Linked DNA regions of Caenorhabditis elegans. The protein of the gene in region 2 interacts with the protein of the main gene of each other region in a pairwise test. Each region holds a gene or a part of one and is shown on either strand. Other genes may lie near its edges. The genes, in order: uev-2 and C02B8.6.

Region 1 (6,364 bases), on a different chromosome or scaffold from region 2:
TCTGGAACTGGAGAGGAGACGGTCATCTTGTTGTTTTTCATGATCAGTCTTTTGTGAATATCAGCGAATTTGGACTGAAAAATGTTTGTGTTTGTTGAGAAAAAATTATTTATCTTCTTACCCTTATCTCATCACTCTCATTTGCTAGAACTCTTCGAATATGCATTTGCTTCTGCTCCATATTCATTCTCTGCTCTCCAATAATTTTCTTGATCCGATCCATGGTTTCGCGTTGGTTTTGACGCCAAAATCCCGGTTTGGCCCGTTCCATAGCTCGCTCGCGGTCAGTTTTCTCCATGGGCTCACCGAAGTTGGCTTCTCCAATTCTGAAGGAAAATCAAGATTATTTGTTGCTAAGGTACCGTCTAAAGTGAGTTTTGAATAGATTATCGTTGTAATCTGGCGCTACGGTCAGTTTTTTACTAAGTGGCCGCGAGGAGATAAAACTTGGCCACCTATTCCGGAACTTACCTTGCTCTCATATAACCAAATGGCCCAAAGTCAAATGGATGCTCCCGATGAAAATATCCTTGTGGTGGATTCATGTTGAAAGATGGTCGCCGACGTGGCTCTTGTGTTGGGATTGTTGGAAAACCCTGGAAAATGAATGTTCAGAATTTTCAATAAGGCTTGGTAGGCAGACTCGTTTTCATGAAAGCTTGCCTATTATTTTTTGGTTTTTTTTCTTGCTGGACTCTGGTGTTTGGTGTTGTTTTCATGAAATCTTCAGTCCTTGGTACCTACGTGCCTGTCTACACGCCTACTTTCAATGTGCACAATCTTGATACAAGCGTAGGTGAATGAAGGCAAGCAAGCAGGCGTTTGTGTTCTGATCTAGTTTCAATTAGAAAAATCTACACAACATACCGAAATGGTTGTGACCTTGTAATAATTAACCTTGGGATTTTCGCTACGTGGCCGCGGAAAGCAAAAAACTCGGCCACCGATTTTTTGGCTGACTTGTTGCAAAACAACTCAAAAACTATATTTTAGATGTGAAATCTCTGCCGAAACTGCCACTTAAAAATCCTACAAGCCAAGAAAACTCACATAATAAGCATTAACATAGTCTGGCATGGCAGCTCCCTCATTAGCATCTCCGTATAAAGTTCTCTTGTAGTAAAAGCCGTTGACAACCGCCGAAAATAGAGAAATCAAAAGAATACGTTTCATTTCCAACAACCGACTAGTACAAAAAAAGGAGTCAACTGTGCACGGTCGAGTGGAGTGGACAATGGTCAGCGAGGGGGATCGGGAGGCTCCGAGAGCACACTGTTTGGGAGTAAATAGAGACCTTTGACGGGAGGCGAGGAGGGGCGGTACCACACGATCTAGGCGCGCTCTCGGTGAACCGATAAACCTATACCGTTTCCGGCTTTTTACGTTTAAAACTTTTGGGTTAGAGCTCTCTCCGCGAGGCGATGAGCACACCATGAACAGTGCAGATATCTGACAAGGTGTGCGGGAGAAGTAAATATAGACATTGGGGATGAGGTAATGACGTGCAATCACGAGTATCACCTCTTTTTGAAGGGCATTGCGGTTCATTGCAACGTGGCCGAGAACAAGAAATCGGTGGCCGAGTTTTTTAAATCCTTAGTAGACTGGAGCTTAGTCAAGCATACCTCCCTGCCTACAAATGTTGACTACGTAGATTTATTCTTGTTCTGCCATTTCATTAAGAGATAATGGGAGGACACCCCGACTCAACGAGTTTGGAATAGCTTTATTTGGTACAATAATCACTTTTTTCGTAAAAAGACATGGTTTTGGAAAGAGAATGAAAAATTGGTGTGATCGGGAAAGTAGGGAAAATGGGAAAAATTATCACATAGGTCAGGTAAGTTTGCTGCAAAAAAGGGGCATTGGGATTTAAATAAATGTGTATAGAAAATTGGCACCTTTTTGGAGAAAAATCTGAAAAATTCCATAGAGTGTCGGCAAGAAAGTTTTGAGAAAGTGGAAAAGGTCTTCAACAGAAAACGTTGGCCAATACCAAAAATATAAAAATTTGTGTAATATTAGTTTTCGATGTCAATTGGTAGATCGTCATCATCCTCGTCCGATTCCATGGCACCATTTTGCACTGCCAACTTAGCCTTTGCTGTCTCCCTCTGAATTCCGGAATTCTCGGATACTTCCATGTATCCCACGGCGTTCGGGTTAACTGTCCAAGCATAAGCTCGAGCTTTAGCCTCGTAATTTTCACTGGAACAAGATAATTTTAAAAGTTAAGTGTTCTCTTTTCTCTGTTCAACGACGCTTAGCTCCAAATCGAAGTGGCCTAGAAGAATAGGTGGCCGAGTTTGTTCACATTTGCAGCTGTGCGCCGTTAAAATATATCTAACCGCTGATTCTCATATTCCATCCAGGCTTCAATATTTGCAGCTTGAGTAAGATCGGGCGTTGCAAGTAGATTGCTGATTTCCCTCAGAAGTTTCTTGAGTGAAGTTTCAGAAGACCAGTGCTCTTGTTCCAGCATTTTAAGATAAATTGATCCTGTAAAGATTTTTGTAATAATGCGTTTCTTTTTGCTACCGTTTTCTGTATTTCACACTCAAACATATTTTTTCGAAACAGTTCTAACCAACCTCTGAGGTCCACGTTCGGATGATGAAGCGGCGTTTTGAATTCACAAATTGGCGGAATTATAGGCCATTTGTGAAAGTTCACGGAAACCTGGAGATAATATACTTTTGCGAACTAAAAAGTAATTAAACCTCATATTCCCCTCCCTCCCAGGGGCTTCCTCTCGGTCCAGGTACTGTACATATCCAAGAACACCATATGTCTGCGCCCTCAAAACTAATTGGCTTTGCCGTATACCCTTGCGGTGTTCTCTGAAAAAAAGTTATTTCGACACATGCCACGCCCACTTTTGAAGTAGGCATAAATCAGGCCTAGGTCCCAGGTAGGCAGGCGAGTTAAACTTTGTGTGAAAGCTTACCTCATCCCACTTGGCTTTCTCCTCCTTCACAGTGTTGATTTCATTGGTGAATTCGCGTGAATTGGTTTCAACGTCGAATAATAGCGCATCGGCAGTTTCGCGAAAATATGAGAGATCAACATATTGTCTGTTGCTACGTCTTCGCATGTTTCTGAAAGCTTAAGCTCTAATCTGGAAAGTCAAAGTAATCCAATTCGTGACGAAGCTTCCGGAGCCGCGTTAACTGAACCTAAGCTGGATCTTATTTGAAAAAGCTACAGTGAATATATTCTTAAAGCGCACAAAACGTTGCATATTATCCCACGAGGCCTAAGGCAACCAGAAGCTTCAAACAAAAAGTGAAGAAGAGAGTATGAATACGTGGGATAATATCACAAGTTGAAGAAGAGGCAGGTACGAGAGAAAAAGAGCTACATAATCACACAGAAGCGGATGCCGTCTCTCTATCATTAGTACGTTGTCCTAGAGATGGCCTCTTTCTCTCTCGCGCCCTCTGTTTTAGAATTGAGCATGTAACAAAAACTACACGTGCTCTCAGATTATGTATGTGTGTGTGTGTGTGTGAGCTACTTGATTCCGACGGGTTGGAGGATTAAAGGTATATCTGATGTTGGGCACACTTTTAAACGTGGAATGACGCAACTCCTCTGCCACACACTGCACACGCTTTTTCATTCAGCTAAAATTTATCATGACGAGACCGGATACCGTACGCGGCAGAACCCATGTGGTGTCTTCAAAATGCCCAAAATGATCATGATCATCAATACGACACCAAACATCAACCTCCGCATTGATTGACAATTTTCACATTCTAATTGAATTAGCATTTCGAACTATAAAAATGCTCAGTTCGCCATGTAGCCAAACCAAAATATGCGTCTTCCAATTTTTCTTCTAGCTCTTTCAAGTGCTTCTATTGTCTTTTCATTGGATCCAGTCCCCGAAGAATATGCCAACGTACCGAAGGAGTTCTTCGAAAAGTTCCAGGCAGCTATCAAATCAGGGGACCCAGTTGCAGTAGTGGATCTTTTTGCTCCGGATGATATGCTTCGTAAGTACGATATCAGAAACAATTTTGAAATTTAGTTATTTTCAGCTGTCAGTGGCATGATTGAAGCGGCACAGGGAATCATCAAATCTTTTGAATCTTATCCGACCGGAATAATTGAACGAGTTCGCTACGAGTATGGAGTCATTCAGATTAATGTCAGATATTACCCCAACACGCCCCTTTTGTCCAAAAAAACGACTATTTTCAAGATAAAATACGAGGTAATCAGGGAGTTGGACTAAAATTTTATCCAGCCGCAATCACCAGAATAGATTTGTAGATAAATTTTAATTTGCAGAACAAATGGAAAGGCTGGACAATGGTGCACTTCAGTGATTGGATGTAGTTTCATATTCGAATATCGGGACTTGTATGACCTAAATAAATGTTTTAAATATATTTAAAAATGTTTCGAAAACTTTTCAGAAATCAAATTGGCTGTTACATTTTACCTATCCACCAAAAATTGACAGAATGATACACGGCCTATTGAAGAAATGGTAACAAATCCGTACAAAGTTTTCAGATATTCACAAAACGCAGTAAACGAGAAGAGTCGACTTTCTGGAAGTTTTCCCTTTTCACATGATTTTAATATTCTTTCATTTTTGAACATTGTGTTTTTCTATTCTGTTGGAATAGCTTTAGTTTTTTATGAATCGATAGATTTTATCAATTCCTGAAGAATAAGGTACATGGATAGATACATTTTTCAAAAATTTTAGTGAAAGGTTTGGCAAATTGAAAAATTGAACTTTTGGGGGCAATTTCAAGCATTGCTGCAAATTTGAACTCTTCGATTGTTTAAATACAAACAATTGAAACGCAATTAAAGTACACATCACGTAGAGAAAAACACAATTTAAGTTGAACAATTTCTCACTGATAATACTCTAAATTTAAAGTTTCAAATTGTATTTCTCATCGTTTCCACAACAGGTTATCTATCACATTGCGCAATTTTACTCATTACAATTTTGCAATATTTCGCAATATTTTAGTAATTAATTTTGATTTTTGTTCCGCAAACTTTCCTCATATATTGTTTGAACATTTTTGACTAATAATGTAAAATATTTTCTATAAATTCCTGAACATTCATTTCTAAATTACCTAAACTCCGTCTATTGAATCTCTGCGTCTCTTGTCTAAAAATCGATAAAAAATGACTGATCGTGACCTGCAAATATATGAATTGGAAGCATTGGAAAGTGTTCTAAGAGAGAAGAAACTGGCGAAATCCAGTGATTGGAGTGATAAGAATGCTGAAATCCAGGGAATTATTGAGGTAAAGATTTTGGTTTTTTGAGAGAAGCTGGGGTATTTTAACTTTTAAAAAAGTAATTTAATGTCCACTAAATAACAACAAAAAATTATTTATCTGAAACTACCCTTACTATATTTTAGCTACACTTTCTACGTAATTATGTAAGTTATCAAAAATATTTAAGGTAACAAAGTATAGAAAATTTCAATAGCCTCCATAATCATTAGCCCGAAATTTTGGCCACGGTTGACTATTTTCCTGTACGAGATAAACTAATATGGCCATATATGGAGTAAAGTATTTTTTAGAAGAGTCACTAAGTTACGGTTGAAAGTTGGTTAGTTGGTTTTTTTAAATGAGTTTTAGAATAGTCAAGTGCAATTTCAGGTCGGATTTGACAACTTATACGATCCAACAGTCACAATTGAAGGAACATCTGACTCCGGCGATCAATTTCATCTTCCTCTTGACATTCTTCCTCCAATTCGACTAAAATTCCATCTTCCAAATGATTATCCCACCGTATCATCACCAAAACTTGAACTGGAAAGTTATTGGATGAATCAGGAACAAATGACATCTTGTGAAACCGAGTTGGCAAAGATTTGCGAGGAAAACCAGATGATGGAGGTGCTTTTTATGTGCTACCAGACAATAATTGATTTGGTGAGTAGCGAGAATCAAATAAAAAGCACCATTATGAGCCGACATCTCAGACACGTAAGGTGTCCTCTGCTAAATTTAACTGCAGCCGACATTTTGCTGGTTCGTTATTGAATGACATAGATGGGCTACCCGCGATATGTCGTCTGCAAAGCGTTCTGAGATGTAACGGTCTACACAGATAGTAGAAATTACATATTCATTAGAAGTAGGATGTTGATTAGAAGACCGACATCTCACGGGTATGCCTTTGAGCGAATTTAAATCTAGATATCTCATGCAGAATTTAACTTTTTTAATTCTGCGGAATGTCGACTGCTACGTTCTTTGATTCAAGCAGCTGGCGTCTTTTTCAACTATCAAATTTCAGATGGCCCAGAACACTCCGAAAATTATAAATTTGAACGAGGCATGTGCACTGAACAGACAAGGA
Region 2 (6,432 bases):
GTGATTAAATGGTTTTTGAGTAAAGCAGATAAATATTCCAAATAAAGTTACGAACATACTACTGGAATGTACAAAAAAGTTGAAAAGCGAAATGGGAGAGATGGGAAGAACATGCAATTATATTACTAAGTAACAATACGATATCAAGAACTAGATGTTGGTAAACCAGCATTAAAAACGTGTTGTGAGGAAGATGGGGGATCCGTAAAAAACCAGAAAAAGTTCAGATTATGGATAATAAATGTTTGAATGCAAGAGGAAAATACAGAAATATATGAATGAAGTAAGGTAGGTAACACTGTGGTCATGGTATGTTAATCATGCAAAAAAACAAAGCATTTTTACAAAGCATTAGACGAAGTAATGAAAAAGAAAAATGTTAAAAAAAAAACAATTAATATGGCCGAGGTGTTAAAGCTTGGCTGCATATTGATTGAGACATAGATTGTGAAATTTGATTGCACGGGATTGAGGCACTTTTTAATAAAAAGTAATAATGTGACAAGCAGAAATTACACGCAAAATGATAAGGAGTAAAGTTTTAGGTTTTTGACAAATTTTGGGAAGTCTAAAACTGAAACCAACAATTGTATTGAAAGAAATAGGTTTTGTCAATGGCGACGCAATCAGAAGAAAAAGAACAATGACAGTTGCAAAACAGTTAAAGGCGTTACTGTTAATCCACAGTCCAAACATTTGGAACATGGCACCCTGCAATTCCTTTGACATTGTGCATGTCGAACTCCGAAGATGTCACGCGCTTTATTTGCCTCCAAGCATCAAGATTGCCCTTTTGCCACTGTCGCATTGCCACGAAATCAAGTATGTACGGCTTTCCGAACAGGTACATTTCCATATTCGGCTTGTTGGCCAGAAACTCGTCTTCGATATCCTTCTCGCAACGTTGATCGAAACGCCACCAACCATCTCCTCTGCTGCTGTAAAGCCAAAAGAATTTGACTCGAGCAACATTGAAATTCGCCTGAACGTTGTATTGGGCTGCAGTAGGAACATCACTGCCTGCAGTGGGAGTTTGCATTCCCTGCTGTCCACCTACACTATTTTGCTCGTCGTCTCTGATATCCATTTTTATGTTTGTTGTTGGAAGTGGCAAGCCCATTTGCCCTGGAGGGAAAACTGTAAAATTAAATTTATATAAGCAACTGGAAGTTAAATATATATTATTCTTTTGGCGCCAGAAAAAATGCTCAGTGATGTAGTGTCACAGAGGCACCGTTAACTAAACCGATCGCGGTATATTTCGGAGGGATATTTGGTAAAATTGTCTCTTAAAAAAAACGAAAAACGGAAACCCTCAAGGTTGCAAATTGCGCTTCTATTAGTCGACATTACAATGTTTACGGAACAATCTACCTGGCACGAGGTTAGCTCAAACACAGTGAATAAAAAATGTTTACTAGATTTATATGACTATCGTCTAAATATTAAATGAAACAACTTTTTACAAAATTAAATTTACCGTTATATTGTGTATTGCCCAGAAATTGATTATTTCCAGCGAATACAGGGTTGGCGGCTTGTTGAACGTCTCCCCAATTTCTTGCAGCATTATTCCAGAATGGTGGAAACTGATTTCCCCAATACCCAAGTGTATAAGGAAAATCAGAATGCGCCTGGAACTGTGGCCATCCAAACTGATTTACCATTCCTTGACTAGTGGTCGGCACTTGATAGTTGCCTTGGGCATTATGAACTAAAACATTGTTTTAAACTTGAGGTAATATCATTGTGCAGTCTGTTGTCAAAACAAACTGGTTTAATGAAAAACTCTGCATAATATTATGCTGTCTTGCTCTAATTGCAAAGCGTGAGGTTTTCAAAGAGCTTAGCAAAAAAAATTTTAGCAAGGAAATTGTTGAAAGCTGACCTACTGAGTACAAAATATCCAGGTACCGTATTTCCTCTATTAGTAAGGCATGCGTAGCTAATTTTCGAACACCTATTTAGATGCAAAACTAAGAGTTATCGCTCAAGTTCTTACTCAAGGTTTCCACTAAGTTATGGCACAATGTCATCAGTTTCAATAGCAGAAACTGGACCAAAAGGACAAATCTCACGACTAATACACAAAAATTATCCGACTTGTATACATATCTTTCCAATTTTGACTTGTTACACCGAGTCTTTAAGAGGTTTCCTAATTTGTAGAACAACTTTGTAATGCAAACTATAGTGGAAAAATAAATTGGTGCACAACTATTAAAAGTGCCAAACTAATAGAGGCGCCTTACTTATAGAGGAAATACGGTAGTTTAAATCAATACTATAACTTTGTACGAAAATATATCAGTATCTTGAAGCTTCCTAGTGCTAAGCAGCTGGAACATTCTAAGGGATCAGCTAGAAGCTTCTGCATTTGGCTTCAGGAAACAGGTGTCACCACTTCTTTGTAAAACAACTTAGCCATGGAAATTTTCAAGTTTAAAAAAATATTACAGTTTCCATTGTTGTTCATATGAGGTGCTGCAGCCACGAGTTCTCTGTTTCCGTTTTGGTTTGCGTTCATTGCCGCTGGAAATTGTTATTTTAGTAATGCGCTTGACTAAAAAAAGGCACCTCTTAACAAGTTGACATCAGGCTTCACGTCGATTTCCTCGTCCTGAACCTCTTCTTCGTCGTCGTCAACTGAAACCTTGTTTTATTCTAGAAGAAAGACTAATAAAAGGTACATATAACTTTTGTTAGTTTTTTGGTTTAGCTTCTGGATGTCTAGGAAATTAGTATTCAGAAAAAAATTGAATGTTTTTTTTTCCTATTTTACACTCTTGTACTTTCCATTTCTTAATGAGAAAGTGTTTCTGATTATCTGAATTATTTTACAGATGAATCTTTTCATATCATATCCAAACAAAATCTTACCATCTCTTGGTGCATCGCCTTTCAAGCAAACTTGAGCGCTCAAATTTAGAATTATGGAGCTATCAAATGGTCTTCGGCAGACGGCACAGTTGAGCATATCATTTTGAATAGAGCCTTTGATGCAAATGTAGCAAAACTCGTGATTGCAATCAAGCCGCACTGGCCTGTTCGGCGTGTTATGGCAGATTGTGCAAATGTCGGTCATTATACACCTGAAATCGATTATATTTCACTGCATTTATAAAAAGTGAGAAAAGGGTTTAAAAGTAACACTTAGCAAAAAAAAAAGTTTCGCAATAAAAGGCTTAGACAATCATTATCAAAGTTTTATCAGTAGCAATTGCATGCAATTGTATTTTTTCAATGTGTACTGTACGAATATTTTTTTTTTTAAACTGATAAACATATTGTGTTAAATCACAATTCATTTCTTCTAAAATTTGCTTAGAAATTGTTGATAAAATGATATTGAAAACATGCAAATGTGCTAATGTCTGCAATGTGTCGTCAAATACATTGTGCACGTACTATCGATATGCAACAAGAGTGACCCCGAAGAGACAAATGCATATTCACTCTGTTGAGCGAGAGAGAAGAGGAGACACAGGAATCATTGCTGAGTGATGGAAAGCAAATAGGAATGTGGAGTCTAAAGACATCGAACGTATGTACAGAGTGGTAGGGTGTCAGACAAATTTTTCACACTTGATAGTCAGGAATCGATACAAATTCACTTTCTAGAAAGTTGTGACGTCACCCTCATTTTATAAAGAACTTTGAAGACTTCTGCGCAGTTTTATGCTAACGATTAAATCTGAAAATTTCCAGAAGTCTAATTTCAAAATGTTGATGTATCGAAAATAACTTGTACTTTTCTTGATATCTTGTTCCGCACTAATGCTTCGATTATTTTGGTGTTTTTAAATAAGAAAAAAGCAATGCAACGTCACCGTGATGCTCTCGTTGCTTGACGACCAAGTCAAACAATAGTTTTCGTAGGCTTCTATGAAGCGAATCTGTTCGAGCTAATCAAATCTGATTTTGTGCACTTTGGAATGACGATATTGTAGAATTACCGAGTTCAGCGCCGTAAGAATCTATTTAACCTTTTAAATTGAACTGAAACTCTTCTATCTCCAAGCAGCTTCTTTGAATCTGAAAATTTCAGAATAAAAACTGCGGTAACGGTTCACATTTTTATTCAGATTTTTTTATAGCCTTATTGAAACAAATTTTGTTAAAATTGTAAAAATATTGAAGGAAACATAGTATTAATTGAACGACAATAAAGAAAAATTGAGAGACTGAAGATGTTCGGAACATTCTGGAAGTACATCAAAAGAAAGGGAATTGGACGACACGGACTAGGGGGATCGGAGAACCGAAAACACGTGTTAGAAACCAACAGATGGAATTGAGGTCATATTAAAATCCAGGAAATCCGTCAACGTCTTTGGTAAATTGCAACCGTCTCTTTTGCACAAACATGCATGCTCACTTGAGATGGATGATTAGCTTTGTGGAACTGGAAGGCTTGAAATGAGTGTCTCATAGAAACACTTTTAAAATATGTTGATGTTGTCGGCGCTGGCTATCTGAACTTCGTTTACACGGTACTATAGCTTTCTGGGGATGGCACGTAGCTACTAACTTGGTACACGAGGTCACTCATTGTATAGCCCTTGGAAAGGTCGTCGGAGTCAATGGGCTCCCAGCAACGTATGAGCTTGGTGAGTTGATCTTGGGCATCTTGGACAGCGTTCATGGCGGTTGGACGGGAACCGAAGGCAGATGCCAAGACGAGAGAAGATATTAGGATTTTTCTCAAAATCTAAGAAGGGGTCACTCGCTGTATAGCCCTTGGAAAGGTTGTCGGAGTCAATAATCGGCATTTATCTGCAGATTCTTGCACAAGTTCAGCCCTAATAAATTTATTGAATGGAACATTATCAAGGCTTCCTATGCCTGCTTTTCAAAACACACGCTGGTCAAATGCAGATTCGTTATTTCATGACTTTCGAAATGATTAATTTTGTTTTGTGAGCACCATGCTTATTAATTTAGAAATTCAGATAAAACAGTAATATGCTTTGACGTTTCTTCATATTTTTTAAATCACGTAAAAATAGGCTACTAAATTGCAGTATTTAATTTTCTCTCAAAACGAAAAAAAGCCACTTATGAGGTTACTTAGAAAAGCTTCAGAAACATTAATAACTAAGCTTATCAACGCATGTTATTTCTATTCTCAGTCTTTCAATTGCAAAAGGTTTTTAGGGATTAATTAGGTAAAGTTTAAAAAATCTAATGAAAAGAAGATTTGATTTTTTGAATTTCGGTTAACATTTCTCAGATTTTCGTTAGATAAAAAAGGGGCACATTAAGATTTTTTCATTGAAGCTAAATTATCACAAATGGGAAGTTTGTTTGAAACTATTAACATTGTGCGAAATTGATAAAATATATGAGTGTGTACATATTTTATGAAACGCGTTAATTAACAAAATATGTGCATCAATAATTTTTGAAATGAATGTAAGATTGAGTTTGTCTCAATATAATGCACCACAACACTTCATGCTTATTGTGTAGTTCATCGTAAGGTCTCGTACACAACTCGTATCACTTAAAATGGCAAAAATGGGTACTGCAAAAAAGGACACTGTTTTCTGGGAGAAAATTAATCATAGTTTTTAAAAAGATTCAGAATGTTTCTCGTTTAACCAACATAACACATATCATTCATCCTATACTACACCACTTTGGAAAATTCGTTTTGAAAATAATGAGTTTCTAGATGTTAGTACAATTCAAATGTTCCCCCGAAATTGGATTCTTTCCTTTAACTATCAAACTAACTCTATAAATTTTGTATCAAATAGTTTCTTAAACTTAATATAGTGACGTATTAGCCCAAAAACATCTGAGCTCATCCAAAGCTGTCTCGACTTCTGTTCAGCCAAAAACTAATGCATTAGAAATTGGCTTCGACTGTGTACACATGAACGCTTGATTATATATTAGATATGTAACATTTTTTTTGGATACTGACATAACAAGTGATAATTTTCTCAAATTTTTTCCAGATTCTGTTGCGTGTCAGTCACGGAGTGGCAACGTCAGAGCCAGGTACACACTGTAACCGGTTTTGTGCCATGTACACTTCGAAAGTGGGCGGGATGTTTCATTTCATATGATGCTCATCCCTGCAATCCTCCTCGTCACTCAATCTGCACTTTTGTTTCTCTTATATCTTATACGTCTCTTTTCCAAAGACTCTGTAAGCCCCGCCTTATGGAATTCTTGCTCCGCCCTTTCAGCTTTCATATTCAAACAGCGCTGAGAACAGTATTCGCCAAAAGCTGAATTCTTTTACAGCTTAACTCTTTCGTGCTTCTTCGATGTTGAGAAAAATCCTTATATCTTCTCTCGTCTTGGCATCTGCCTTCGGTTCCCGTTCAACCGCCATGAACGCTGTCCAAGATGCCCAAGATCAACTCACCAAGCTCATCCGTTGCTGGGAGCCCATTGACTCCGACGACCTTTCCAAAG

The links.
Region 1: the proteins of C02B8.6 (region 2) and uev-2 interact in a two-hybrid assay, tested with the Caenorhabditis elegans proteins (one study listed by BioGRID).

What each region holds. Positions count from the first base shown.
Region 1 is NC_003281.10:5,579,871-5,586,234, reverse strand, and holds uev-2 (UBC core domain-containing protein), read right to left. Parts: upstream 3,111-6,364; 5' UTR 3,095-3,110; coding exon 2,948-3,094; intron 2,841-2,947; coding exon 2,721-2,840; intron 2,680-2,720; coding exon 2,592-2,679; intron 2,500-2,591; coding exon 2,349-2,499; intron 2,209-2,348; coding exon 2,022-2,208; 3' UTR 1,713-2,021; downstream 1-1,712. Other genes in the region: F56D2.3 (DUF148 domain-containing protein), read right to left, coding at 1-74, 122-326, 472-596, 1,051-1,173; F56D2.8 (DUF4440 domain-containing protein), read left to right, coding at 3,824-4,001, 4,047-4,222, 4,300-4,347; F56D2.5 (RBR-type E3 ubiquitin transferase), read left to right, coding at 5,167-5,289, 5,656-5,934, 6,302-6,364.
Region 2 is NC_003284.9:8,133,235-8,139,666, forward strand, and holds the start of C02B8.6 (putative RING finger protein C02B8.6), read right to left. Parts: upstream 3,093-6,432; 5' UTR 3,086-3,092; coding exon 2,881-3,085; intron 2,647-2,880; coding exon 2,578-2,646; intron 2,533-2,577; coding exon 2,458-2,532; intron 1,715-2,457; coding exon 1,481-1,714; intron 1,138-1,480; coding exon 677-1,137; 3' UTR 1-676. Other genes in the region: C02B8.7 (uncharacterized protein), read right to left, coding at 4,487-4,645; C02B8.3 (DUF5354 domain-containing protein), read left to right, coding at 6,348-6,432.